4 linked regions of the Notamacropus eugenii genome follow. The protein of the gene in region 1 interacts with the protein of each later gene in a biochemical or structural test. Links are inferred from orthologs where the notes say so. Each region holds a gene or a part of one and is shown in the gene's direction. Other genes may lie near its edges. The genes, in order: ABL1, DOK1, ATM and ERBB4.

Region 1 (6,916 bases):
TAATAAAATTTTTTGGCTCTCCATACCAGAGAAGAAGTATGAATTTTTTCTTTTATGGGGTGTTTATAGTACCTTATTATAAAATTTGGGTTGATATTATATAATACTATACATGTATTTTATGCATTTTGAGTTTCTAAACTTTTTCTGTGTCATTCTGCCGGCCTTGTGTCATCTGCAGCTTCAGCAAAACTCCCCCCAAATTCCCATTTAATTTCTTATGTTGACTTATATCAAAACCTCGATGGGGAAAGTCGTGATGTAGAAGGGATAACAATACCTGGGAAAAAACATGAGTGCTTTTCAATTGCATTCTATGTCATCCCAGAATATATTCTGAACTAAAAGTCTGTCTTTTTGTTTCATAGTCACTGACCATCCTTAATCTACATGTTATGCTTTTCTTAAAAATTAAGATGCCCCTTGACGTTCTTAAAGATTTTGGACTAAACCTGCTGAACAAGCAAAACTAGAAACCCAATTAATTACCCTAGATATTTTGCAGATTAACTTGTAAAATGGAATTTGAAGGGAAGTTAAGTAGTGTAGTAGATTTGAAGTCAGAAGATGTGACTCCAAAGCCCAGATTTCCTTTTTTATTATCTGTGTGACCTTGAGCAAGTCTAACTTCAGGCCTCAGTTTTCTCCTCTACATGAAGGTGGTGAATGAGATAACGAAGTGCCTTTCCAGCTTTCAATCCTGTGATGTGTCCATGGTTAGTTAGAGTTGAAGGTTCTTCTGCTCCTTCCCCATGCCCCATGTAAACCTGAGAAACATCAGAATTTTACAACTGGAAGGAGCTTTTCAATATGGAAGAGAGCTCAGGAGATCATTTAGAGCAGCCCAGTCATTTTACAAATGGGGAAACAGGCGAGTGAAAGAAATGACATTAAATAACCATTTATCAAGTGCCTGCTGTGTGCCAAGCATTTGCATCCTACTAATGGGAAGCAGTTTTTACATAGATACGTATTACATCTATACAAAACAATTACAAAGTTGGTGGGGGTTGTTGTTTTGTTTTGGATAGGAGAGTAAGAACTGGGGAGGTCAGGAAGAGCCCTGTAGGAAGTAGCCCTTGAGCTCTGCCCTTCTGAAGGAGCCTGGTAGGAATGCCACGAGGTGAAGGAGGAAGGAGAGAGCGTACTGGACACCGGGTACATCTTGGGCAAAGCCCCGGACTGACCATCCCTCCTGTGGACGTTTCAAAGGGCTCTAGGTGGCGGAGATGGGGCCAGGAAAGGATGACCCCCCTCCCCCATCTTGAATTGCCTCCCACCTCTTCGACCCTTTCGACCTGCACAAGGTCATAAAGCAGTTAGGTGACTTTGTCCTCAGGTGTGATCTCTCACCTGCGTGCTCTAATATTTGTCGTATAAACCACCTAACATCTGTAAATAAGGAAAAAAACTCCAGTACGAGCCTGTGTGTTTCTTATTGGGTCAACAAACATATCATAGTTTTCCTTCCACAGCCCCAGTGCTTCAGTTCTTGAATAGGAAGCCACAAAGGCTGGAAAGGAACAGACGTAGCTACATGGCTAGTGGCAGACGCGTGGCGTACAGGTGGATCCCCTAGGTATCTCAGGGAAGAAACCCTACTCCAGCCCTGAGAAAATCCCGTCCGTAGTTTGTGTTTCGCTCTACATCCGCCTGCTAGGGCACTCTCGCTGGGAGGACTCGTGCCTGCTCTCCAAGGGGCCTGGGATCCCGCAGAATCCCTAGAGGGAGGGACTGAAGAACCGGTTGGAAGAAGAGTGCACAAGTCTCAGATGGCCTAGCGGACGGGAGGGAGTCACGGAAAAACTACAGCTCCCGGCGGCCTTCAGGACGGTACCCAAGGCGATTGGCTAACAACTTCAGCACTAACAGGTTCACCAGCCAATGGAGAAGGAAGCTTTGTCCCGACCTGATTTGTCCGAGACCAATAAAAACAGGCGGGCGTTTCCTTCTTGCTTGGAAGAAAAAAAACGACCAAAAAACGGTGCGGTTTTAATTGTTCCTGTCTAAACTCGTCGAGACACCAGGATTGGGACTCGAAAATGTGGCTTACTCATATAAAGGAGAACGTCCATTAAAAGAACTAACACTCCTCCCCAGCTCCCCAGCCCCCGCGCTCAAAACGACTCCCCTGGGGCGTGCGCCCCGCCCCACTCTTCTCTCCTCCTACTGCTTCCGCTACGTCCCGTACGTGCCTGCGGCGGGCGGGGCCAAGAGGGGCGGGGCGCGGGGAGCCCGGGGCGGGGCTCAGCCTCGTTGTGGAGCGGGTTGTAATCCATCATGGCGGCCGAGGGGGTTGGTGTCTTTCCCTGAGCAGCAGCGCCGGAGCCGGTGGCCGTGTACCCGCAGCTAAGGCGCCCCCTGCCCGGCCCCCGGCCTCCGCCCCCGCCGCTGCAGCCCCGCGCCCCAGCTGGGAGGGGGAGAGACAGAGAGAGAGAGGCAGAGTGAGGCAGGCAGAAGGGGAGGCAGGTTGGCAGGGAGGGAGCGGGCGGACGCTCGGGAGCTCCGGGATATGATTGACTGACCATTGGCTGGGGTGGGGGACCCGAGGGAGGAAGGACCGTCGGGCCGGGGGCGGCGGGTGTCTCCGGGCCGAGTTTCTTACTTCTCCACCTCGAGGACTGGGCAGCTCCTCCCCTCCCCCCTCCCCGCCTGCCCCACGGGCATCTCGGTGACTCCTTCCGGACCCTGGCTTTTGGGGTGTCGGGGGAGGCAGGACTCTCCAGCAGGGTCGTACCCTCTGCCCGGAGCTCCTCCGCCGATTGCTCCCCTGCGGGAGACGGTTGTGAGCGAGAGAACCAGCCTTCTTCCTTCCCCCGCCGACCCCTCTGCTCCCCCATACTCTCTCCTGTTCCACTCCTTTTTTTCAAAGGTTCCCCAACTCTGCCACTCATCTCTCTCCCCTTCCCCCCTTCTGTCCCTTCCCCAATAGGCTGCCAAGTTTTCCTTTCTGTCCCAGGTTCAGCTTCTCTCCCGTGCCACCCATTCAAACACTCTTCCTCATCCCTTTGCTTTCCTTTCCTCCCTCTCTCCCTTCCCCCTCCAGTCTTGCCAACCTCCAATGCCCTTAGTCTTTTTCTATGTCACCAAAGGCCTTAGTAGGCTCTGGACTGCCCCAGACTTTAATGCAAAGGAAAAGCCTGGGTTGGTTCCACAGGCCCTTTAAAAAAGCTGACTTAAAATTGCTGGCAATGCATTCCTGGAGTGACTGACTGCTCGTGTAAATCTACTTGTGAAGTCTGGGTGACCCAGCTCAGTTTTCCGGAGAGAAGTAGCAGCCAGATTGGCAGGAAATCGGTCAAAGATGAAGAAACCGAGATAGGGTTTGGGCGACTTCCACAGGAAAAGTTTCAGAGCCGGTATCCAGATCCTTCTGTCAAAGACCATTCCTGATTTTTTTCTGAGAAGTAGAGACCCAGAAACAGCTACACTTTTGTCTTTGTTTTGAAATCTAAAATGACATTGGCATACCTGACCCTTTTAGACTTAAGTAATAGTCCATGCAAATACTTTATTCTCAAGAGGAATGCAAAAATTGCAGTGGGAAAAGTACATTCCTTGTGAATATATTTTTAAATGGCTTCACTTTTGGAAAGAAACTAATTCCTGTTCAAGTAAAAGACGTCCAAATCAATTGACACTGATAACATTATAGTTGTATCGTTCAAACTGATAAAAAACTGTAAAATTGGAGCTCCTCTTTGCCTGAGCGGACTAAGAAGCATTTTTTACACTTGGTTTTGGGAGAATTCTCTTGTGATTGACTTCAGTAAGTGATCTCTCTGGAATGTGAATGTGAAACCCAAATTATACTATTGTCATTCTAAGCTATTGGACCAGTCTGGAAGATCTGAAACCCTCTTTTTCTGGGAAAGGTTGTCTATAGTTCCTTTATGGGGCAGCAGCCTGGAAAAGTCCTTGGGGACCAGAGAAGGCCAAGTTTGCCTGCCCTGCACTTTATCAAAGGAGCAGGGAAGAAGGAATCATCAAGGCATGGGGGTCCACACTGCAATGTTTTTGTGGAACATGGTAAGTGCTTATTAGTATTGCTTAAATTAATGTTTATCATATAGACTTCGCTAGGATGCTAGAATTAGAGCACAACAGATTTTTCTGATTCAGACATCCCATTTGAAAATTTAGAAAGCTAGCATATATTTTCCTTTTAGGTGGCTCTTAGACTCCCTTTGTATGAGAAAAAATTTCTTTATGATTTAATGTTATGCAAAATCTCATGGTTTTATTTATTTTCTACCCTTGCTCTTCAGATAGCTTGCTGTGTCACATTGGGCAAATAATTTCTCCCAAATATGGGCCGCAATTTCTTTTTGTAAAATGAGAGGATTGTACTAAATGATTGCTAAGGTCTAGTTCATTTTTTATGAATCTATGATTCATTGATAATTGAATACCAATAAATTGGTAATTGATAATTGCACATGTTACTTACAGGTGCTTATTAAATGCTGGTTGAATGAACAGACAAATATAAATTCTTTTATCTAACATGAGTGCCAATCGTTTTCCCTTAATAATATTTTTCTGATTTTTCAGTGTGTTTGAAATGACATTTATGAAAAGTTGTCATTGGAATTTTTAATGTATTGTAATTTTGTTGTCCTACTGTCTGTGTGGACTTACAGTTTGCTTCTAGTAAGCCTTTTTGGTTAAGTCAAGGCAAACAATCAACTTAGACTGATACTTCTCAGCAGGGAACAGTTATTTAACTTATGAACTCAGGGTTCTGTTCATAATTCTGTTATGAGGAATAGTATTTGTGAGGTCTTGTGACGATGTAGGCTATCATTATTAAAATATTTAGTGATGCTGGGCCCTAGTCATCAAATTCTTAAAGTGTTTTAAGTAATATGTTTGTAAAGTTCAAGTAAGGATCCAAGTTACCAAGTGGGAATAATAACTTCAGTGTATTGAACTTTTTAAACTGGTAACTGCCCGTGACTATTGAAATGTAAACATGACCCAGATTAATGAAGTTGTTAGTATTTCCCTGGGGGCCATTTAGTCCAAGGACCTTTTTAGCCAAGATGTATTCAAGGTGAAGAAAAAGAGATGAAAATAAGCTAATCTTGTGAGTACTGAAAATTTTTTAGCTGCATGGTATGATTCAGTGAGTGGTGAATTTGGAGTCTAAGGACCTTGGTTCAAATCCCAATGTTATCTTGTTAGTCATTTAAACTCTCTGGGTCTCAGATTTCTCATTGTAATGTTAAGGATATTAATATGACTTCAAATCTTCAATCTGTAACCTAATTAGAAACTTGAATTTTAATTCTTCTTAAGATTCTTGAAAAAGCCCTGAAATCAAATTAAATTTTAGTTCAGTTGACAGACAAATTTGATGATGTTTAAAATAATTGCTCATTATGATTTCTCTCTCATCCTCTGTACCATCTCCCTCCCTTTAAAAGTTCATTTTAAAATACATTGGTAACAAGTGATAACAAAGTGAATCACTTTGTTAGATCACCTATTTTTTAAAATATGTACTTTTTTCAATTGACAAAAATCCTCCTCTCCCTCTCCCCTCCTCTCCCCAGGTTGAGAAAGAAAGAAGAGTAACTAAGGAAAACAACTTGACTATACATGTTATAAACATCTGTAGTCAAGCAAAACAAATTTCCACATTGGCCATGTCTCTCTCTCTCTCTCTCTCTCTCTCTCTCTCTCTCTCTCTCTCTCTCTCTCTCTCTCTATCTCTCTCTATCTCTCTCTCTCTCTCTCTCTATCTCTCTCTCTGTCATTCTGCACTCTGAATCCATCACCTCTTTGTTAAGGAGGTGGAGAGCATGTTTCATCATGAGTCCTCTGGAAGTCATAGTTGGTCATTCTGTTGGTTAGAGTTCCTAGTCTTTCAAAGTTCTTTGTCTTTACAGTATTGTCTTCACTGTTAAACTGTTGTCTTAGTTCTGCCTATTCCTTCTGCTTCAGTTCTTGCAAGTTTTCCCAGGTTTCTATGAAACTATCTCTTTTATTATTTCTTAGAACACACTGGTAACCCATTTTGATTACGGACTCAATACAGTTTCTAAGGCTGAGTTGAAACAGAGTATGGATTGATTCTCTGCTGTTTGTGCTAATTTTGGCCTAACAATTTACACCAAGAAAACAGGCTCTCCACCAGCCAGCATCACACCATCCATCCATGGAACAATTGAATATAGCAGATGGAGAAATTTTGAATGCTGTGGATAAGTTCACTTTACCTTGGCACTATACTTTCCAGGGATGTACACATAGATGATGAGGTTGACACACCCATTGCCAGAGCTAGCTGTGTACTTGGAAGGTTCTGAAGGAAAGTGTTGGGGAGAAGAGGTATTAGACTGCCTGTCAGACTGAAGGTCTGCTGAACCGTTGTGCTGACCTCATTGTTGTATGCCTGTGAAACTGGGATGGCCTGTTGACACCATGCCAGGAAACTGAATTGCTTCTGTTTGAATTGTCTTAGGAAGATTCTGAAGATCACCTGACAAGATAAGGTACCAGACACTGAGGTCCTTTCTTAAGCTGAGCTTCTAAGCATTCAAACTCTACTGCAGAGTTGGCTGGTCATATTGTTTGAATGCCAAACCCATGTTTGCCTAAAAGACTGTTTTATGGAGAACTCACACGAGTCAAGTGCTCATATGAAGGTGAGAAGTGATGCAAGGACACTTTCAAGGTCTCTCTGAAGAACTTTGGAATCCATTGTGAGATGGAGATGCTGTCACAGAACTGCCCAACGTAGTGTGCTCACATCAAAGAATGTGCTGGGCACTTTGAAGCAAAATTGCAGTAGTTCAAAAGAAATGTGAGATGTTCATGTGGACTATTTGTGCCCGTCCTGTGGTGGAGCCTTCCAAGCTCATATTGGTCTGATCAGCCACAGTTGGGCACACTGTATCTTGACTCCAAC
Region 2 (7,202 bases), on another chromosome or scaffold:
TTTCCAGACTCCACATCCAATCCTGCCTCTCACATAGCACAGAAATGTCAAGGTAGAAGAGAACTGAGCAAAGGCTTTTGGGGTCTGGCAATGAAAAGGTCACTGGTGATGACCTTGGAGAGACTCACTAAGTAGTTGTGGGGATAGAAGTCAGATTTAAGTGGGCTGAGCAAGAGGAGGTCCAGAAGTTGTGCAATTAAGGGAAGGAGAGAGATATAGGACCATGCTTTGAGAAGAGGGGCATGATAAAGGGAGAGTTGTTTGTTTTTAGGGTTACAGGAGACCTAAGTACTGGAAAAGCAGAGGTATCATTGGGGGGTGGGGTAGGGAATGGAGGGCAGTTGAAGATATTCATGGCCAGCAGCCTCTGAAATTGGAATAGGTTATAGGATGAAATTGGGGCTCATCTAAATAATTTTCCAACAATCAGAACAGTCTAGCAACGTGATGGGCTGCCTCATGCCACAGTGAGTTTCCTGTCCACAGGAATGTTCAAGAAGCAGCAGCATAACCACTTGTTAAGGATTCTAGATTATTTCCATGTCCTGATAAGTAAGCCTTCTCTTTCCCTAGGATCATAAACCTAGAATTCAAAGAAACTTCAGAGGTCAAACCATCTACTCCAACCTTATTCTACATATAGGGAAAGTGAGGTCCAAGGAGGTTGCGCTTTGCTCATAAGAGGTGGAATCTGACTCTAGAATAATGTTCTCTAGCCTGAGTACTATGTTCCTTCAATTCCCAGTTTCTCTTTATTGTGTATGTTTCTTTTTTCCTCTAGATGTGCTTATCAATATCCTCAAGTGTGGTGCCCAGAACTGGACACAGTATACCAAGGAAGGTCTGACCAGAGCAGAGGTCAAGGGTACTAATGCCTCCTTCCTCATTCTGGGCACTCCGCCTCTATTGACGCTGCCTTCAGTCACTTGACCTTTTTTGCTTGACATATAGAACTTGCACTCAGTCCACTAAATCCCGAAGATTCTCAATTTAAGAATAGTTTATCTGTTCATGCCTGTTGGGGAAGTGCAGTTGATTTTTTGAACCATTCCTGACTTTACATATGTATTTATTGCATTTCAATATATTAGATTTGGTCCAATCATATATTTTTTTAGATTTGGACTTTGTCAATATAGTAACTCAATGATCAATCATCTCCTTCCTCCCCTGCCTCCAATACTTCTGATTTTGTATCGCCTGCAGACTATATCTTTTTCCATGTTTTTCTGAACTTCCACCCTCAGCCGGACTTGGTGCCTTTTCCCTGTTCCGTGGCCTTTCTTGGTGCTTGTTCTCACCTGTGCCTGGGCCATACTTGGCACTGTGGGCCCACCCCGTGGCTTCGGTAAAGCCCAGCTCCCGGCACAGCACATGAGCTGCTTGCAGTGTGAAGTCATCATCACAGATGGTACCCCACTCGCCAGCCCGTTGTATTTCCACACGGCCCTCATAGTGCTTCCGAGGAAAACCAGCTAGGCGGAATCGAAGCTTGCTACCAGTGCTCGATGCAGGGCTTGGGGATGGAGAGGGGGTTCCCAGGCACCAGGTACATAACATGCATAGAAGCAGTCCCCGAAGGCCCCACTGCTGGCCCCCGGCGACCTGTGTGTCAGACATGGTCTAAGAGAAATAGAAACCCAGACTTTAGTGATAGCAAGATGGTGACAGAGACAGAGTGACAATATGGTAGAGATGGAGACCTGAATTAAGAGAATGAGAGACAAAAACACCTTTGATGACACACAGAGACATAGAGACACAGTAAGGCAGAGAGACAGGTGAGGGAGGGAAGGAAGGAGATAACCTGTGAACTCAACAGATGAAGAATGACAGACTGATTAGGAGACACAGCATGAAAGTGATGTAAGAATGGTAAACAGAAGTCAATGAGATAGGTTTCTGTTGAATCTTGATTGAGGAGGAGGAATAGTGGTTAAGAAAGCAGCCCTTTATGCTCAGAGCTGGGAAGTAAACGCAAGCTCATCAGAGCATGTGCAAGAGAGGCTCAGAGAAACACAATTCACACTATGTTACACACACACACATGCACACACACACGCGCGCGCGCACACACACACACACACACACACACACACACAGAGTCCCAGGCAGGCACACATAATTTTAGCTGCATGGATCACACACAGCTGCCCACACCAGAAGTCATAAGCCTCTATGTTGATAGTGACACAGGAAACAAGGTCCTGGATGATGCCACTTTGACAGTCACACACTGAGGCTCCTTGGTTACCTGTCCCAGGGGAACACGGGGACCCAGAGGGACCAGGGTTGAGGGATGGGGCGGAGCAGTGGGAGCCACTGGGAGAGAGGGAGGGAAGGAAAAGGAGGGAGCGTGAAGGTCCAAGCGGTTACTGAGGCAACAGAGACTAGGCCAGAGAGACAGGCCCAATCCCTGGGGGGATGGGATAGGAACAGCTGACTTTGGGGTTTGGCATCTCTATCCCCTGCAAAGGAGCCTTTGGTGGGAGCAAACTGGACCCTGCCCTATCCCCCCTCCCCACCCCCACCCCAGCTCTAGCCTTCTCCTCTACTCTCCCTCCAGTCCTCTATGGAAACTTTGACTTTTCTGGGCCAGACTCCCAGCAGACTCTTGTCCTCTTTTTCCCTTTCCACCCTGCTGGCCTCCTACCCTGTCCGACCCTCAGACACGGTTCTCATCCCCTCCCTTGGCTGCCACACTCTCTGCCCCCTGCCAGGCTGGACCCCTTTCTGTCTCTCCCACTTCCCCTGCACTGGTCATCAAACGACTCTTTCACAGAACCGGGAACTGGCCGATGACAGAAAGTATAAAACAACTTCAAGTGTCGGTTATCTTCACCCCCACAAGCCCCCTATACCCTGTGTCCCCCATCCTATGTTCACCCCGATCTTTCCCGTCTCCAGCACCCTCCTGTTCGTTTCTTCATCCTTATTACCTGGGTCCCCCTATTTCCTACACCCTCCTATATCCCCTATTACTGTTACCCACACACTCCTAGTTGTCCTACACCCAACTCTCTACTCCCATTTTCCTCACATTTTCCTTGTAAATCCCATTCCCCGCTGGCCCCTGGCCCCCCATCCTCCAGTGCTCCCACTTCTTTCCCAGTGACCATCATCCATCCCTCCACCCTCCCAGCCCCCCTCATTCCTCATTCCCCTGCTTGTCTGCTCTGTTCCCCTCTCCCCAAGCGCCCGTACCTCTGCGCTGGAAGTTGCGTCCGAAGGAATGGGATGGGGGAAGCCAGTCCCGGCCTCAGAGCCTAACCCAGGGACTTCCAAGAAAGTGCCGGGCTCTGGGAGACTGGACGCCCCTCCCTCAATCCCTCCCACCGTTCCACTCTGTCTGTCCCTCCCCCTCCCTGGCCAGGCAGGCCCCAGCCTCGCCTCCTCCCCTCCGCCCCTGGCCTCTCGGCTCAATGAGGCTTTCTTCCCCCGCTGGCTGAGGCTGGAGGACACCCGGGGGCCCGTGTTGGGCGAAGCCCCTGGCTTGGAACTTGGAGAAGCCTGTGTTCATTTCTCGAACTTCACCCCTTTGCCCATCCCCCAAGGCCCCTGCCTTCTTCCACCCCTCACCCCCTGAGGTTTCGGTGGAGTGTGGGCTGGCTTGGACCCTGAACACGTGTGTGTGTGTGTGTGTGTGTGTGTGTGTGTGTGTGTGTGTGTGTGTGTGTGTGTGTGTGTGTGTGTGTGTGTCTGTCTGTCTGTCTGTCTGCACGGACTGCGTGCGCGCTGCGCCTGCGGAGCCTGACACACGCCTGGGTCTGACTTGCGGACGATGGAGGGGAAGCTCTGCGAGGCAGCGGAGCTGTCCTCGCCGTCCCGGGCCGGGAACCTGCCCCGAGGGAGCCTCCCTGCTGGGGCTCGAGCCTGCGGTGCAGAGGCGTGGTGCCCCGGGTCTTGCACCCAGTAGGCACCGCAGGAGGAGGAGGCTGAGCGTGTGCTGACTGTGCCGGGCGTGCGTGTGGGGAGGCAGGGTGGGTCTCCCGAGTCCTCCCACTTCTTTCCTTTCCGGGCGTCGGGGCCGGCCGGCCGCAGGAATGTTGGCCGCCCCGGCGGCTCCCGTCCAGTCCCCGTCTCCGGGTCCCGCAGGAAGCCCGGAGGCCGGCTCGGGCACTCGGGGCGGGGAGCTGGGGGTTCGGGATGGGGGTGATCCCTCCCCCCAGCCCCGCCCCGCCCCGCGGGCCCCGCCCCGCCCCCGCCCCGCAGCGCCAGGAAGCGTCCGGAGCCGCCTGGGGCCATGGACGGCGCCGCCATGGACGGGGCTGCCATGGAGGGACCGCTCTTCGTGCAGAGTCAGCGCTTCGGGGCCAAGGTGGCGGCAGGGGCAGGGGCGGGGGCCGCGGGGCGGCGGCCTGCGGGGAGCCCCTGGGCTGGGAGCGGGAGGGCCGCAGCGGGGCCCGAGGCTGGTCCCGGAGAAGTTTCTCCCCAAACTCCGGAGGAAGTGCCAGCCCCACCACGCTTCCTCTAGCCTCGGCGGGACGGAAATGCGCCCACCCCCACCAGGGAGCTCCGCCTCCTTTAGGAAACCCCACCTCTCCCAGGATTGGGGGGCGGCTGGGGCAGGGCTCGGATCCTCAGCTCCTGGCCTGGGGTCTTTGCGGGAGGCCTCCCTCCGAAGTTGGAGACCTGTGCCAGTCATGGCCCCTGTCATTGCCCTCAGCCCTCCCGCCCCCCCACCTTCTGTATGGGGTTCCCTTGCCTGCCCCCGTAGAGGAAGGGTGATGCAGGGCGAGCCTGCATGTTCAGCCCGTCTCGTCCCTTCATTTCTCTCTCATTTCCTGGTTTTCCCTGCGTGTTCACGTATCTCTTCACCAGGGTTTCTGCCCAAACGGGTAGGAAGATGAGGCTGCTGTGTTATACGGAGAGCCAGTTCCCCTAACTTCCCTCTCCTTCAGTATGTCCACATCCCTTTTTCCCAGGGCCTTCCCGTAGTATTTCCTTGTATCTCTTCCTCTCCGTGATCTCTGTACGCTGACCTCCACCCTCCCTCGTCCCAAAGGTAGAGCTAAGTCCCGGGCATCCCATGACCCTCCTCCGTACCTTCCCCATGCTCTCCTCTTCCCAAATGGCTTCTCAAAGCATTCCCCACGTTCTCCCCACTATAGAAGTGGAAGAAGGCCTGGGCAGCCTTGTACCCCTCCAGTGCCAGCGGAGTTGCCCGGCTTGAGTTCTTTGAGCACAAAGGGTCAGGCTCTGGAGGCGGGTGGGGAGGCTCTCGCCGCCTAGACTGCCGAGTGATTCGTTTGTCGGACTGCGTGAGTGTGGCCCCGGTGGCCTTGGACAGCCCCCCAGGACCTGGCACATCGGTCTTCCGACTGGACACTGCTCAGCGCTCCCATTTCCTGGCAGCTGAGGGCCCTGCCAGTGTTGCCTGGGTGCAAATGCTCTGCCAGACTGCCTTTCCGGTGAGAGGGTTGAATGATTGGGGATGCTGTCTAGGGGAGTCCATTTGGTGAGGGAGCAGGTTCAAGGTCGGAGTCAGTGTCTCCTCCCCCCCACTCCCCAACTTGATTGGACTCAGACCCCAGGTGGAAAACACTGATGCTTTCTCCCCTGCAGAAAGGCTGCTGGTCTCTGGCTCCTGGTGAAAGCTCTTCGGGGCCCTCTTCAATGGAGATGCAGGAGAACTCCCTGTACAGCCCCCATGGGCAAGGTAGGGGTAAAAGGAGAAAGGGATGGGGAGAGGGAGGTCCAGGGACATGAGAAGAGAGGGCATACCATGGGTCTGGAATAGGGATTCCACAGCCCTCACATGGGGCTGAAGGTCACCTGGAGGATTGGGGGGAGGGGGCGTGAAGCTCTTGTGGGTCTGGTGTCTAGGTATGATCCAGTCCCTGTTAGGACCTGAGTGTCTTTCCCCTTTTCCATCTGGGAATGTTTCAGTGTGACCCTTCCTCTCTCCCCAGGGTCTGAGTTCTGGGTGACTGTACAGAAAACAGAGGCATCTGAGCATTGTGGGCTGCAGGGACACTACCTGCTCAGGGTGGAGGCCAATGGTCTGAGTCTGCTGGTGCTGGGGGGGCAGGGTCAGAAGAAGGAGCCCCTGCTCACCTGGCCCTATACTCTTCTCCGTCGATATGGCCGGGATCGGGTAAGGGCTTGGGATGGGTCAGAGGTGCCACTATAGAAGGAAGCAGAGGATATACAGAGGGGAAGGCTAGGAGTGTGTGGTGGGTCCCCTAAGGCCCAAGAGCTGACTGCTGCTAGGATGACCTCAGGTAAGCCTCTTCTCTCCTGTGCATAAGTTTGCTCACCTCTGCCCTCTTCGTCTGCCTCCAGGCCATGTTCTCCTTCGAGGCTGGACGGAGATGCCCCTCAGGCCCTGGAACCTTCACTTTCCATACTTCACAAGGGAATGACATCTTTCAGGCTGTGGAGGCTGCCATCCAAAGGCAAAAGGTTCAAGCTGGCATTGTTTCTGGAACCGGCGCAGGCCTGGATCAGCAGTGGCCTGGCTCATCAGAGGTGGGGACAGCAGGGGCTGCCTCCCAGGGCCTTGAAGATCCCCACGCTCATGGCCCTGCCCTCTACTCAGAGCCCTTGGATGCCCTTCGGTCGCTGCCTGACTCCACTTCAGACCCCTTGTACTCAGATCCTGTGGACAGTTCAGGCCAGAGGACAGGACATGGGGCTGGAGGAGGCTCCCCCCTCTACTGGGGCTTGTTTGAACAGGTGCAGCAGCAGCTTAAAGATACAAGGCTGGGAAGAGTCAAGAAGGAGCCTATTTATGATGAGCCTGAGGGCCAGAGCCCAGCCCCGGCTCCAGGCCTCTATGACAAGCCCCAGGAGCCCAGGGATGCCTGGTGCCAGCGAGCCCGGGTTCGGGAGGAGGGCTACGAGCTCCCCTATAACCCTGCTATGGACGACTATGCTGTGCCCCCTCCAAGGAACCTCAAGCCCATTCCACCCCCCAAGCCCCAAATGCTCCCCCGGTCTAACAGCCCCAGCAGTCTCGCACTCCCAGTGTACAGCCGGGTACAGAAGGGTGCTACTGCCAAGGGCTGGGGCCAGGGCATGCCTGAAGGGGGATCTCAAAGCAGGACTGGGATGAAATCAGAAGGGCCAATGTAAAGACCTGGGTGAGGCTTGGAGGGCCTACGTGGGTGCTGGGGAGATGAGTGATCCCCCCGAGAAAGGGGAGGCCTATTTGAGGCTAAAGGGTATCAGTGAATCAAGGTCCAGACCTCAGAAAAGCA
Region 3 (7,139 bases), on another chromosome or scaffold:
TTTCAAACCAACTGGCCCAGAGACATCTCAAAATCAACATGGAATCTAAAACTCAACTCATTAGGAAAGTTTCCCAGTTTCTGTGGAAAGCATCTTTCCTTTCAATTTCTGAGGTTTGTAATCTTAACATTGTTTTGAACTCCTCATTCGCTCTTTCTCACCCTACATACTCAAGCAGTAGCCAAATCTTGCTATTTCTACCTTTGCAATAGCACTCCAATCTCATCCCTTCTCTCCACTCACACAGGCACTAACTTATTCAAGCCTTCATCATCTCTTGTTGCTTAAGTGTTCTCCTGCCTCTAGTCTTTCTCCACTCCACACACTACTGCCAAATTAATTTTCCTGAAGCAGATTTGACTGTGTGACTCCTCGATCAAATCTAGTGGCTTTTTAGAGTCTCTAGGATCAAATATAAACCTGTTTAGCTTTTAAAGCCTCATACACATTGGCCACAACTTGTTTTTCCAGTTTCAGTGGAAATTACAATTCCTCTCACACTTTGCAAATAAGTCAAACAGACCCCTTCCTCACAAATGGTCTCATCTCCCTGCCTTTATACTAGCAGTGTCTTCCTTTAAGATGTGGCTCAAGCACCATCTTCTGTATGAAGCATTTCCTCCCAATAGCCAGCGTCCTCCTTCCCAAACTACTTTGGATATATTCATTTATTCATTTTATATCTTCGCACTTAAGTGTTCTCCCTCTCTCGGTCTTTGTCCTCTTCCCCCCTCCACACACACACACACAGCGTGTCCCATTAGAATGTAATCTGATTCAGAGTAGGGACAGGTAAGGAATGTTTCATTCTTTGTACTTGCATCCCCAATGTCTGGATATAGTGATTGGCACACAGTAAGCCAAAATACTTATTGATATTTTCTCATTTTTATTCTTCTGTTCCTAGTTGACAAAGCTGTGGATGACTATGCAGTGGACAATTTAATGGTGAGTGAAAATAAGTCTGCAACATATTATCAAAGAAGAAATGCACAGAAAGAAAAGCATAAAAAGTATGGCTAAAAGAGAATACGGGTCATTCACCCATAGGGCAAGAGGAACAAGATAATTGAAGGACAGCATGTATGCTCCATTAGTACCCACACAATTTCAAGAGATCTAGCTAGGAGTGGTGGTGCCTGTCTGCTACTGAGGAGGCTGAAGTTAGTAGATTGCTTAAATTCATGAGTTCTGAGTTACGGTGTGCTAAGACTGATCAGTTGTCCTTACTAAGTACAACACCAAAATGGATCCTTACAGGGAAGCAGAATGCCAATGGAGAGGTGAAATGACCCAGGTTGGAAACAGAACGAGTCTAAACTCTTGTGCTGATCTGTGGTAGGACTGGGCCCATGAGTAGCTAGCTGCTGCACTTCCAGGCTGGGTGAGACTGGGAGAGCAAGACCTGCCCTCCACCCTGCTACAGAGATTTTGAAGGCTCCCAATACATTCAACAAATCATAGGATTTTAGAGTTTGACGGGACCTCAGCAGTCACTATTTTAATCTGTATCTAAAAAGGAATCCTTGCTACAATACGTTCAACAAATGGTTGTCCAGTCTGTTTAAAGACATTCAATGACAGGGAACCCATCATTTTCAGAGAAAACTATAATTGTTAATAAGTTTTCCCACCTGGTATCAAGTCTAAATGTGCCACTTTGCAATTTCTGCCCACTGTTCTTAATTCTGCTGCTTGGACACAAAGAGAATTGTGTTCTAAACCTCTCATCTCCTAATTCACCTAAACTGATCTCTATATGGCACGGACTCAAGTCCCTTCACTATCCTGGTCATCATCATTCTTTGGACACTCTTCAATTCATCAGTGTCCCTTCTGAACTCTGGCCCTCATAATCAAAGACATTACTCTAGATGTGGTATGAGTAGGGAAAGTATTCCTGAAAGCTATGCATATCCATGTTGACCCAAGATCACATTAACTTTTTTTGGTGCCTTTATCACACAATAGATACATATTGAGCTCATAGTTCACTAAAATCTCAGCTCTTTTTCAGGCCAAATTTGGCCTAATCATGCCCCCTGCATTTTGCATGGGTGAAAGTGATTTTTTTTGAGATAAGTAAAGAGTTTATTTACATTTACCCTAGTCAATTTCATTTCATTAGAGTTGGCCAAGGTTATCAGGATTCTGGGGTCTTTATTCTGTTATCCAAAGAGTTAGCTATCCCTCCCAGCTTTGTATTATCTGAAACTCTGATAAGCATGCTATCAAAGACCTCATCCAAGTCACCGACAAAAACTTTTACATGAGCAAAGAAGAACAAAGGACAGATCCCAGGGACACCCTACCAAGGACTTCCAAGAAGACCTCAAACCAATAAAGATTACTCTGACTATGGACATTTCAGCAATTCTCAATCACCCAACTGTATCACTGTCTACCTTGCATCTCTCCAGTTGTTTTTTCTTTTTTTAGCAGAAGTAGGATGAATAGGGAAGTACTAAGAAAGCACCTAGCTACCCTACTTGAGTTTAAGTCACTTGGTCCAGATAAACTATTTCCTATGATACTAAAAGCAGTAGCTATGATACCTGAGACATTGTCAGGATCTCTGAAAGATTATAGAGAAAAGGAAGGTGCCACAGGAATGGAGCACAAATACTGTCATAACGTTCAAAAAGGTATGTTTTCAAAGCGTAGACCAGTAAGCTTCAGTTTGGCAAAATTCAAGGAAGGATTACTACAGAGGCATCTAGAACATCTATAAAAAGAAAACATGCAAATACCAATGTGCAACGACCTATATACAGGACGAACTGGACATAACCAACAAAGAACAGGCATTAAAGGAAGTGAGATTTTTCGCCAGGTCTCAAAGGAAGTCGGGAGGCAGAGATGAGGGAGAGAATTCCAGGTATGAAGGGCAGCCAGTGAAAATGCCCCGAAAACACCGCATCTTATCAAAAACCCCATACAATATTAGTTTAAAAACCAGTTTAAAAATATGTCAAGTCTCTGTCACAGGCCCAGATTCTGAAAATATATGCGGCTCAAGCCTTAGCAACACAACTGTGGATACATTTTCAGAGAATATAAACACACACACACACACACACACACAAACTGAGCCACCAAACTGGAATGGCCCACCCCACCACGGCAACACAAGCTGGACAATGGAAGGAACCGAGTCATCCAAATGGAGGGCTGGAAACGAAGGCCCAATCTGCCTTTTCTCCTCGCCAGAAAACTGCAAAAATATAACGGTGGTGCCTCTAAAACGTGGAGCAGCGCCCGAGAGGCCGTGGGCCCGAGCCGGCCCAAAGCCTCCCGAAGGGGCTCCCAAGCCCGCGGCTCGGAACGCGACGTTGAGGACTCGGCAGGCGCTCCCCCCAGGAGGCGCTCCCCCCAGGAGGCCCTGGCCTGTGCTCGCCCCGCTCCAAGGCCGCCCAGCCCCGGCCCTGACGCGGATAACTGAGGGCAGGCAGGGAAGAGCCATCTCCTCCCCCACGTCAGGGTCCTCCCCGAGGCCGAGCCCTCACCTTCCCGCCTCGCCTCCCGTCGGGATGAGCGTCTGCTTCCTCGGGCACCCGTGGCAGGGGAGCCGCGCTACTCGACCCAAGGGGCCTGGGGCTGCCTTCGCCCCCAGGGCTAAGGAGAAGCCGGTCGCCGGTTGGGCTGGGAGGCAGTCTCCTCCGCCCACCCCACCTCCCCAAAGGTAAGCCGCAGAGCCGCAGACCAGCTCGGCTCGCCCCGAGGCTCCACTCACCCAACACTAGCCGGGCGACGTCGGACGGTAACAGCATGATCAGGCCTCTAGAAGGACTCTGAGACCCCAGGCACGTCTCAAAAACCTTCCGCGTAGCAACACCGAGACCGCATCTCTCGGTCCCTGCGGCGGCGTCAGCTGCTGCACCGAACCCGAGGCAACTCGTCCCGCCCCCTGGGTCCTCTGTAGCCAATCGCTCCTAGGAAGAAAGAAAGGCGCGGAAACGCGCCCCGCCCCAACCCTGACTGACAGGAACATCATTTCCGCTCAGGAATGAGGAAGGCGGGGCAGGAAATGGAGCTTGGGTGGTTACACGCCTGCGCAGCGCATCTTAATAAGGGGCTTGAGGGAGAATGGTCATTCTATTAAAACGTCGCGCCCTATTAGCGTACCGCTGCCTAGGAGAAAGGGGCGGGGAAAGGAGAGGATTAGTGGTACGCTTGCGCAGAGGGAGCCACGAAGGCTACGATCTCCCCGGATTCTCCCGCCATGGAAGGAGCCTGCGCACTGAGGGTTGTTTAAACCCGGAAGTGAGAGCTGTCGCGTGAGTGTGGAGCTTGTGAGCGGTCTGCCTGTGGGGAGAACAGGCTGGAAGGAGGAGAGAGGACCCAGACGGCCTTCCCTCTGGAGGCTGCGGCCTTCGGAGCCCTGCGGTAGGGGGCGAGGGAGAGCGCGTCCCGCTTCCGTGGGCTTTGGGATTCTGCTTCGGCATTCGCGGATCTGGGCGCCCTTTCCCCTTGTCCGCTCCGGCCACCACCGCCCGGGGATACCCCACTTCCCCGGGCCTGGACCCCGGGGCGGAGCGCTTTAAATCCCCAGGGAGGGGGCGGGGAGGGAGGCGCATCACCCCTTCCGCTCTTCCCCTTTCCCCTGCAGCCCTGAAGGCGAGCGCCGGCATTTCAATCTCTCTTTTCCCCATCCTCCTCTCTTGACTCTGGGTGGCTTCTGTTTGTCTTTGCTTCCCCCACCTGCCCATACCATTCAGCACCGAGCTGGAACAACCGTGGAATCCTGGACACCTGGTCTACCTGGCTGAAGCGGGTGCCCCCCATGTGACCCGTTACCTTGGGTACCTCCTCCTCCTCCTCTCTCCGGGAAGTGAGGGAGGGGCACTTTCCGAAATACCGAGTATTAATTACAGGGAGTTAAGCAGTTGCCAGTCACGATCCGTAAGAGTCCGGCTGTGAAGGAACCTTAGATGGGATCATGGAAACCTGGGGAGGTTAAGCGCTTTGTCTACGGCTAGACCGGGGTTAGTAATGGCAGCGAACGTTTGTAGAACACCACGTGCCAGGCGTGTGCTAAGGGCTTTACGGTGATCATATCTGACTCACGACCATCCCGGGAGGCGCTATTGGCGTCCCCGTTTTACAGGTGAGAAAGTTGAGGCCCCCAGGCTAAGTGACTTTCGGAGCGTAATGCAGCTGGATTTGAACTCAGATCTTGCAGATTAAAGGCTCCGTACTCTATCCACTTCATGGCCTTCTATGCCCATTGGAGTATGTCAGGATCCTCTCTCTTTTTACTATTAGGAGACAACCTGTTTTCCAGAGGTAGGGCTCAACAAGCAAGTTGTGCCCTGAACTTGGCATAAAAGCTTTTTATTTTTTTGAACAGACCTGCTGCGAATCAAATTTATCTCATTGCTGTTACCTCTCCATTGTTAGGGCTACAGCTTACTGCGAAGCCATTGGTCGTTTGTATTGAGATTTGTCCACATGAAGGGGGGAGTGTCCCCTAATAGAGGGGACCCTGCCACATGTATGTCTAGTTTCCTCCTCCAACAGGAAATCTCCAACAGAGTAAGGAAAACAATTTGCTTATAACCACTGTTAGCTCTTCGGTTTTATTTTACTTTATTTTTAGCATTAACTGTGGTTAACCTGTGTGAGCTCTCTAGTTTTGTTTTTAAGAGTTAACAAAGCTGCCATGACTGTTCATTTAGTCAGGGTTAACAAGTGTTAAGTTTTTATACCAAGATACCTAGATGTTATGTTTGCTCATTTTTTGGTGTATTGTTAGTCTTCTAGAATTTTAAGCCAAAATTCTTAGGAAGTTCAGCTCTACTTTTCAGTGAATAAATGAAAATACATTCATTAAACTCCTTATGTGCCAAGCTGTATGCTAATCCATGGGAATCAGATGCAAAAGGGAGACAGACCCTGTCCTCTTGGAGCTTATGTTCTAATGAGGGAATCCTCACATATAGGGTGGCAGCCAGGAAAGAGTAAAGTCAAAGGGGAGTAGAGCCTTAGGGCAATTGATTTTGCAGAAGTAGTTATAATGGTAGTTCTGTTAGGTTTACTTTTCCCAGAGCTAGAAGTGGAAATAGGGGAGAGAGGGGGTGGGGAAGGGGAGGAGGGCAGGAAGGTAGTAGTGAGGGGGAGTGTCCTATGCAATCACTTGGGCAAAAAGTTGTCTTGGTGGAGTGACTGGGGTGAGCCTGATGTAATGACCTCTCATTAATCAATAAGACCCCAGGGCAGGAGCCAGGGGTCCCTTGTGACTGTGGCTTTCTATGCAAATCAGAGGTGATTATCCTTGGACTTTGGGCTTACTCAATATGAATCATAAATAACTAACATTTAAAGATTTACTAAACTTTTCCCAAGACCTTTTGATCTAGATAATGAAATGATCATTATCCCCATTTTATGTATGGGGAACTGAAGTTCAGAAGTCACATAACTATTTAGTGGTGGGCCCATTATTTTAATTCATTTCTTCAGATTTCAGTTTTTTATTTTAAGAGGAAATAGGTAAAAAGAATGGGAAGGGTTTTCCTGAAAAATAATAGGTAGGACTTTATGGACCTTTTAAAATATTGGAAAAGCTGTTACATGTAGGATATTAATTTTTTTTTTTTATAATAACACATTCATGTACTTCTATAAGGAAAGGACTTTGTAGACCTGGAAACAATCTTGTAACGTAGGTAGTGCAAGTGTTATCCTCATTTTATCAATGAGAAAACTTGAGATTGGGGGGAGTGTGATTTGCAAATGGTTCATCAATCAGTATTTATTAATCTCCTTCTGTGTGCCAGACACTGGGGCTAGACTATACTGAGAATGCAAAGACATAATTGAAACACACTCTACCCTCAAAGAGCTTATATTCTGTGAGAAATACTACGTAAACATATCTACATGTAAGTAAACATATACAAAATAAATACAAGGTGGTAGTTGGAGGAGGGAAATCAGGAAAAGCTTCATGTAGAAATTGGTGCCTCGGTGGAGTTTTGAATGAAATAAGGGATTCTGAGCTAGAGATGAAAAAGGAGTGAATGCAAGGCTTGGAGTTCAGCCAGGGCAAAGAGATGAGGACAGGAGATGGAGTGTAGAATGCTAGAAAAGTAGTAATGTGTAACAGGGCCAAAAAAGTATAAGGAAGTCAGGTTGTG
Region 4 (6,893 bases), on another chromosome or scaffold:
TCTGAATCCAATTTACTTCTCCTGCCATATCATTTACCACTCCCTTTCCCATAATCTATTCTCTAGCTAAATTGGATTTTTCAGCTTGTGTCCTGTGTTTTCAAGCTATCGTTCCATGACCCCCACTATCTCCTAACTTGGAATGTTTTCCCTTCCATTTTTGCCTATTGACATTTTACCAACACTTCAAAGTCCAGTTTAAATGTCACTTTCTCCAAGAGTCCTTTCCTGATACCCTACCATGTAGGTAGAACTTCTTCTACTGGTATCTCTTAGAGCATTTTGAATCTCTTTTATATTTTATCTGTCTCTACTTTGTATTGTATTTATTTGAGTATAACATACACACATATACGTACATGTATACATATATGTATATGTCTTATCATTTCCTATTATGTTATAAATTTCTTAGGGTTAGGGGTTTTGTCTTATTCATCTTTGAATCTCTTTTAACCCAGGCACAGTGACTTACATGTGGTACACACTTAATATGGGAGACGGAAATGGCAAACCACTTCAATATCCTTGCCAAGAAAATCCCACAGATAATATGGTCCACCAGGTCATGGAGAGCTGTACTTGACTGAATGACTGAAAAACAACAATGCACTCAATACATTTCAATGAACAAATGAATCTAGTACAAAGTCATCTCTGAGGATTATCACTTAGGTTAGGAGAAACAGGAAAACTTGAGAACAGTCATGTCTGATACATGACATCAGAGAGGAAGAAACAACTTGGGAAAGGATTATTGGGTCATTTTTCTCTCCACTTTCTCCTCACCAAGACATGAGTACCAATTTCACCTTCCTCCAGTAGGGGGAGGGTTTTGTCCCCAGTTTCCATCACCACGAACTTCAGGGCTGGAAAGTGACCTGCATGAACTCTGCCTTGCTTTTCTTCTATATCACCCCAAGACCATTGTACCTATGTACACAGGAAGATGGACAAGATTTTTAATCAGCAAATAAGAACTGAACATCTATATGTTATGGCTGCTCTAGAGTCTTCAAAAGAAGTAAAAAATGTATAGGATATAGTTTGTACTACTCAGAAATTTCCAAACTGGAGAGTAGGAATCAGAATAAAACTGAAATGATTAGATAACAATACAGGACTGAATATAATTAAAGGCTAATGTAGTACAGATTGTAAAGCTTAAAGACCCAGTCTACGTGAGCTAGTGTGGTGTAATAAGAATAATAAAAAACGGAGACAACAAGTAGCATTTCTGTAGTGCTTTTAAGATTTGCAAAGTGAAAAGCATGTCAGTTCTTCTGAAGTCCACAAAAACCCTGTGAGGTAGGTACTATTATTATCCCCATTTACAGGTGAGGAAACTGAGACCCAGAGAGGTTCAGCACCTTGCCCCAAAAGAATCCTGCACTTAGCATTAGATGTCTTGACTTTGGGACTCTTTGTGTTACTGTGGAAAAGTCAATTAACCTCCCTGAATCTCAGTTTCCTCATTTTTTAAAAAAGAGAATGATAATATTTTCTTAAGATGTTGTGATGAAAGTGTTTTATAATCTTCAAAGAACTATAGAAACAAGCAATTTTTTTGAGGCAGCTGTGGTATGCTAGAAGAGCATCAAATTCTGGATTCACAAATGGTTTCGAATCCCAGCCCTGCTACCCACAAGCCCCATCTACTTGAACAAGTCACATATCTTGGCAGAACCTTGGTTTCATCTGTAAAATCAGGGTGACAGTGACTGCACTAATATCTCATTGGGCTGCAGTGAGGTTCAAAACTTGACTTTGTAAGGCATAAATAAATCACTATGGGAATGTGACTTGATATTGTTACTTATTATTATTCATCAAAAGAGGAAAGAATGTTGGAAGAGAAGAAAGTAGCTGAAAAAAAAAAAAAGAAGAGAGGGGCAGACAAAAATTGGAACAAAAATGACAGCCGAAAAGGCAGCTTACACAGTCCCATTGCAATCAGTGCCTCTGATTGCTCCTATCTAATATCCAGTCTGAGAGGTTGCTTTACCTGTGCCGGTTTACCAGGGTCCCTTTCATCTCTCTCAAGCTGTATTCATTTAAAGTCCTGGGGATCGGAGGTTGACTCAGAAACTAACAGTAGCAGCAGCAACAACAACACAACAACACAGCAATCCCCCTTCCAAAGTACTGCCACTTGTACACGCAAGGCAGTAAAATCTTCCAGCTCTATAAAGGGTCTCTGGGGTATTTATTCCATATTTATTTGACCCAAGCCTCTGCTGATGTTCTTAAGTGACAAAGCCTAGGAAAGAAAGGGGAAGTACTTCAGGTGAAATAAGAAACGGAGTTGGCAGGGGGGGGGGGGGGGCATGGTGGTGTTGACTCCAGCAGTTCTTGCTTCTCGCTGCTGTTACTTTCAAGGAAAACCAACAGTGAAAATATTTTTATCTCAGGGATAATTGTACAAATATCACCATATCACCTTTCAAACTTGAGAGTCAGGTTGACCCAGCTCATGTGGGGTCAAGTACTGGCCACTGATTGAATTCACTACCACAATAAATAAAGGACCCTTGAGGAATTAGGTTGATCCTGGAGTGGACCTTGGTAGTTAGTTTATTTCCAAGATGGGCTTCTTGTGCAAATGGATCTTTTGGATGAGTCATTGGATATGTGTGAGACTCAATTCTGTATTGACCAAATTACTTGAAGACATGAGTGATGTAGGCTGACTACCATTTGGGATTGAAAGGCACTCTCTGGACTTGAAATCACACTCTGGATTACCTTCAAATTGGCATAGCGAGCCACGGAAAGTGGATCTATAAAGTTAAAAGATTCATAAAATTTCAGGGCTGGCCCAGTTCCCTCATTTTATAGACCAGGAGGTCAAAACTAAGAGTAGCTAAGTGACTTATCCAAGGTCATAAAGTTATCTAATGGCCAAGCCAGGAGATAACTCCATTTTTCTTTTTTTGCCTGAAAAATACCCTTCCCATTCTGCCATAGTTATTTCCCTAGTTGGAGTAGATGAGATCTTCTCACTGTCCCAGAATAATTTCCTTGAATTGGCTGCATTTATGCCTCTATCTCAGTTCTTCAGCCAGAACTCAATGTGGAAAAGTTTCTAGGGGCGGAGGCCTGCTCTCTGGGAGTGTGAAGGATAAAAGGATGATGACTGGATATTAGCAAGTGATACCTGGCATTGTTCTCTTGGATTGTGGTCAGAGCTATGGTTCTAGCTCACAGCTTGCTCCTTTCCGGAGCCTCGGAGCCATGGTTAAATGATAGAGAAGGACTCGCCAGTGTGAGAGGAGGAGGATTTTTTCCCTTTCTTGTAAGCAAGACTTTTTTATTCTGCCAAGACTCCTTTCTCTTGGTCTCACCTCTTTGGAAAGAGGGCTATGTGTGCTAGCCCTTGAATTATTATTATTTTTGAGCGGAGTGAAGTTGAGGAAGGGGGAGACACAACTTATTTTTTTTTCCTTCTGAGAATCCCTTTTTGCAGTCTGCTTTTGAGCTTTGGCCTTGTTTCTCTTTCTGGGGAAGAGGGAGAGGCAAGGCAGCGTCCCTTCAGACCACCATGGGGGCAATCGGGGCCTTTTCCCCATCTAAGCACCCCCTCTGGGCATACTGCCCAGCACTGCCTGCCAGCTGTCCTGGGACTCTGGCTGGGGCGGGGGGGGGCGACGGGGGGGTGGAGAAGCGGGGGGCGGGAAGAGGAGTGTCTTAACCTCACAGTTGGCACTAGCCCTTTAAGACCAGCTCCCCTCCCCCGCCCACGCCACCCCTTTCATTCTCCTGACAGGTGTTCTCCCAACTCTGGAGGCTCAGGATTTTGGGGAGTGGCTGAGCCAATGAGATTTTAGATTTGGGGAGGGGGGGTGGAATGGGAGAAGGGGTGTGGCTAGCTGGGTCAGAGCAGAGGCGGGGTTTAAGCCACCAAGCTGTGTCTGTCTCTCAGTCCCTCGTTCCGTGGAGGGTTTTCCTTTCTCACAACGCCCCCCCCTCCCATACTCCCCTCTCCCCAATCCCGCTTCCATTTTTTTTTTTTTTTTTGGAGTCTTGCTAATTTCTCCAAGCTGCTGTTACCGCTGCGGCCGCTGCCTCTGCGAAAGAAGGGGGAGCGCTGGAATCGACGCTCGGAGGCTTTAACTCCTACAGCCGCTGGACAAGTCTGAGGAGCCCGGAGCGGGGGTGAGGAGGGGACGGCCGGAGCCGTGGGAGACGCCAGGGGCTCTCCTCCAGCCTCCCCCGACTCACACCGGGGGTGTGCACAGGGAGCACCAAAGGAGGAGAGAGCAGTGCTTGCAAGAGAGCGAAAAGCAGGAAATCTACCACCTTGGTGAGAGCAACTTTTTTTCTTCTCTCTTTTTATTGTTGACCAACCCGAAGGAGCGAGTGCAAGACAGAGGACGATCACTGGGGGAAATCTACTCACAGTTGGACCTCAACTGGGACCGGCAGCAGCGCTGACACACAACACGCGCACCCTCATTCACCTCCATTCCTGGAATAGCCGGCGCGCACAGATACACACACACACACACACACACACACACAAATACACTGTGCACCTCTCTTTCTCTCTTCCCAGTACCCACTCTCGCCCATCCACATCCATCTGAGGGATACAATAAGGGGATATGCGATTTGGACATGTAATTGTCGGCAAAGGATTTGAGACTTCCAAAAAATGAAGCTGGCTTCGAGACTGTGGGTCTGTGTGAGCCTTCTCGTGGTAGCCTGGACCCCCCAGCCCGGAGCTTCTCAGTCAGGTGGGTCGCAGTCTCTGCTTTCTATCGCTCTCCCTCCAGCTGTGGAACCTGCTGCTGTCTGGATGATTTGTGTTTGTGGTCTCCCCTCCCTCCCACTTCCCGCCTCTATTGATAGATCGTTTCCAGTCTCGGAGAAGCTGATCCGAATTTGTTTCATCGCCGCCCCCTGCATCATTTCCACCTCCAACTTGCTTGGTTTTGCTCTCCTTCTAGTGCGTGCGTGGAAATCACTATGTAACCCCTTTCTCCTCCGTCTCTCTCCCTCACCTCCCCCCCCCCCCACCCCAGTCTCTTCTTTTTCGCTCTGTGGGTTAGCAGAAGGCTTAGTTCTTTCAGCCTGCTTGTCTAAGACGTAGAAGACGCACACGGAAAATCCCAATCAGCGCAGACAATTCCCCTTTTTTTCCACCTCTCCTGCCTCTCCACCCCTCCGTCCCCGAAAGAAAAGAGACGGAGTAAATAGGACTTTTTGGCTGTTCCGCGGCGCGAAAAAGAAAAAGGATCGATCATTGCCTTGCTCCTTCTGTGGAGCTCCTGGCCTTTTGATTCCAAAGCGCCTCATGTGTCTATGTCCGTGTGCGCTTTTGTACCTGCGTGGGGGAGAGAAGCAGGAATAGGGCTCTGACACAAGTCACCCGAGTGTTGACATAGCCAAGATTTCAGACATAGTCCGGAGACAGTCACAGCATACAGCTGCTACCAGAAAAGCATCGTTTTCTTAACACCACCCGCTTTCCTGTTTTGACCAGAAGCTGATCTCTTAAAACTCACAATCCATCTAGATCCCTTTTCTTTAACAGCCCCCGGTAGGGTCGAGAGAGTGTCTGGTAGAGGGTCTAGCAGCCAAAGGGCTTGGCAAACTTTATTCACGAGAATAACAGCCGCACTCTGTGAGGTTAGACGCCCATCAGAGTTCCTCCTGCTAGTGTCTACTATTGGCCAGGGTCCCTCAAACTTCCCTGTTAGAATTGGGGCTGGTCGGATAGCTCGCCCATCACTTGATCCTTTCTAATCCGAGGCGAATCGGGCACCACGGTGCGCTAGCTGTTGGCTGGGCTGCTTAGCCTCAGGTAGCAGGACGCACGAATGTAACTGAACAGAAAAGGAGGAGGGGTCGGGGGAGAGCTTAGTGGCAGGGTCTTTGACAGGACGTGTCGTGCGAGTGAGCTAAAAGTTTCTGACACTTGAGCTTCCCAGATGATAGGAATGGGAACGAGGAGATGGCTGATCAGGGGACTGAGTGTAGCCAAAAGGAAAGAGAGATGTCTGAGATGGCCAGAGGGTGCCATTTGGACAGCCGGTGCTGTTTCCTGATCTGGCAGCAAGTGATCACACCAGAGATACTTGATGTAGCGTGGGAGGCTGGCTGACAAGATAAAGCTTCAGGGGTAGGAAGAAGGGGAGGGGTTAAGGAGAATGCTTTAGGGACGCCTATGGTGTCCTTGTGACCTTAAGCAGAAAAGACGCCGCTTAGTTTTCTTACTCCCTACGCCAGCTATCTCTCCTCCCTCTCCTCTCCACTCCAGCCTTCTCCTTCCCTCTTCTTCAAGCAAACACCCAGTTATCATCACTGGGGCTTTAAAAATGATACTAGAATTCCTGGTCTTTGCCTTTTATATGCTGTGTTAAGTACTGCCAAAGCCTGCCTTCAGATCAGCCTCGGAATCACCCCAGTGCGGCTTGCAGATTTCAAGGCAGCCTCCTGGCCACTGGCCTTTCGTCTTCGTCCCACGATCCTCTCCATATTTTCCTCAATGAGTTGATTATGCAGGTTGACCCATTCAAAAGCACTTGAGGCTGACATATATGCTTAGCTGATAGGAATTTCTATGAGGCAGCCTAGTGGGGGTTTGTCTGGTTCAGCCTCAGCCATGGGGACCGCCTCGGAGTCTACAGCAATTTGGTATTAAGTGTGCGGCTCAGGGGTTGAGCTCTTCCTCAAAGCTCTTTTCAGAATTTCTGTAAGGAATGTAATCCAAATTAGTTCTGCAGCTGTCCTCTTCCTCATCGCAGTGCACAGCACTTCTACTCCCCCCCCCCCCCCCCCCCCCAGCCTTTGGCGAATTGTCATAACCCAAAGTGAGTTCTTTCTGGAGTGTGAGGCTTTGAGTCCCATTGTTATTCGGGCGGTGACTATGCACTTGAAATTCTGGTGAT

The links.
Region 2: the proteins of ABL1 (region 1) and DOK1 form a complex in vitro, tested with the Homo sapiens proteins (5 studies listed by BioGRID, with this or other methods). The link is inferred for Notamacropus eugenii from reciprocal best matches to the Homo sapiens genes ABL1 and DOK1.
Region 3: of the proteins of ABL1 (region 1) and ATM, one has a biochemical effect on the other in vitro, tested with the Homo sapiens proteins (3 studies listed by BioGRID and IntAct, with this or other methods). The link is inferred for Notamacropus eugenii from reciprocal best matches to the Homo sapiens genes ABL1 and ATM.
Region 4: the proteins of ABL1 (region 1) and ERBB4 form a complex in vitro, tested with the Homo sapiens proteins (2 studies listed by BioGRID and IntAct, with this or other methods). The link is inferred for Notamacropus eugenii from reciprocal best matches to the Homo sapiens genes ABL1 and ERBB4.

What each region holds. Positions count from the first base shown.
Region 1 is NC_092872.1:482,395,658-482,402,573, forward strand, and holds the start of ABL1 (tyrosine-protein kinase ABL1), read left to right. Parts: upstream 1-3,893; coding exon 3,894-4,029; intron 4,030-6,916. Other genes in the region: uncharacterized protein, read left to right, coding at 3,081-3,212. UniProt on the Homo sapiens protein: Non-receptor tyrosine-protein kinase that plays a role in many key processes linked to cell growth and survival such as cytoskeleton remodeling in response to extracellular stimuli, cell motility and adhesion, receptor endocytosis, autophagy, DNA damage response and apoptosis.
Region 2 is NC_092877.1:46,851,229-46,858,430, forward strand, and holds the start of DOK1 (docking protein 1), read left to right. Parts: upstream 1-4,243; coding exon 4,244-4,318; intron 4,319-5,111; coding exon 5,112-5,411; intron 5,412-5,565; coding exon 5,566-5,659; intron 5,660-5,912; coding exon 5,913-6,097; intron 6,098-6,285; coding exon 6,286-7,077; 3' UTR 7,078-7,202. Other genes in the region: LOXL3 (lysyl oxidase homolog 3), read right to left, coding at 1,302-1,620. UniProt on the Homo sapiens protein: DOK proteins are enzymatically inert adaptor or scaffolding proteins. They provide a docking platform for the assembly of multimolecular signaling complexes. DOK1 appears to be a negative regulator of the insulin signaling pathway.
Region 3 is NC_092876.1:146,774,874-146,782,012, reverse strand, and holds the start of ATM (serine-protein kinase ATM), read left to right. Parts: upstream 1-4,126; 5' UTR 4,127-4,277; exon of another isoform or gene 4,278-4,386; intron 4,387-7,139.
Region 4 is NC_092877.1:310,178,189-310,185,081, reverse strand, and holds the start of ERBB4 (receptor tyrosine-protein kinase erbB-4), read left to right. Parts: upstream 1-3,871; 5' UTR 3,872-4,654; coding exon 4,655-4,736; intron 4,737-6,893. UniProt on the Homo sapiens protein: Tyrosine-protein kinase that plays an essential role as cell surface receptor for neuregulins and EGF family members and regulates development of the heart, the central nervous system and the mammary gland, gene transcription, cell proliferation, differentiation, migration and apoptosis.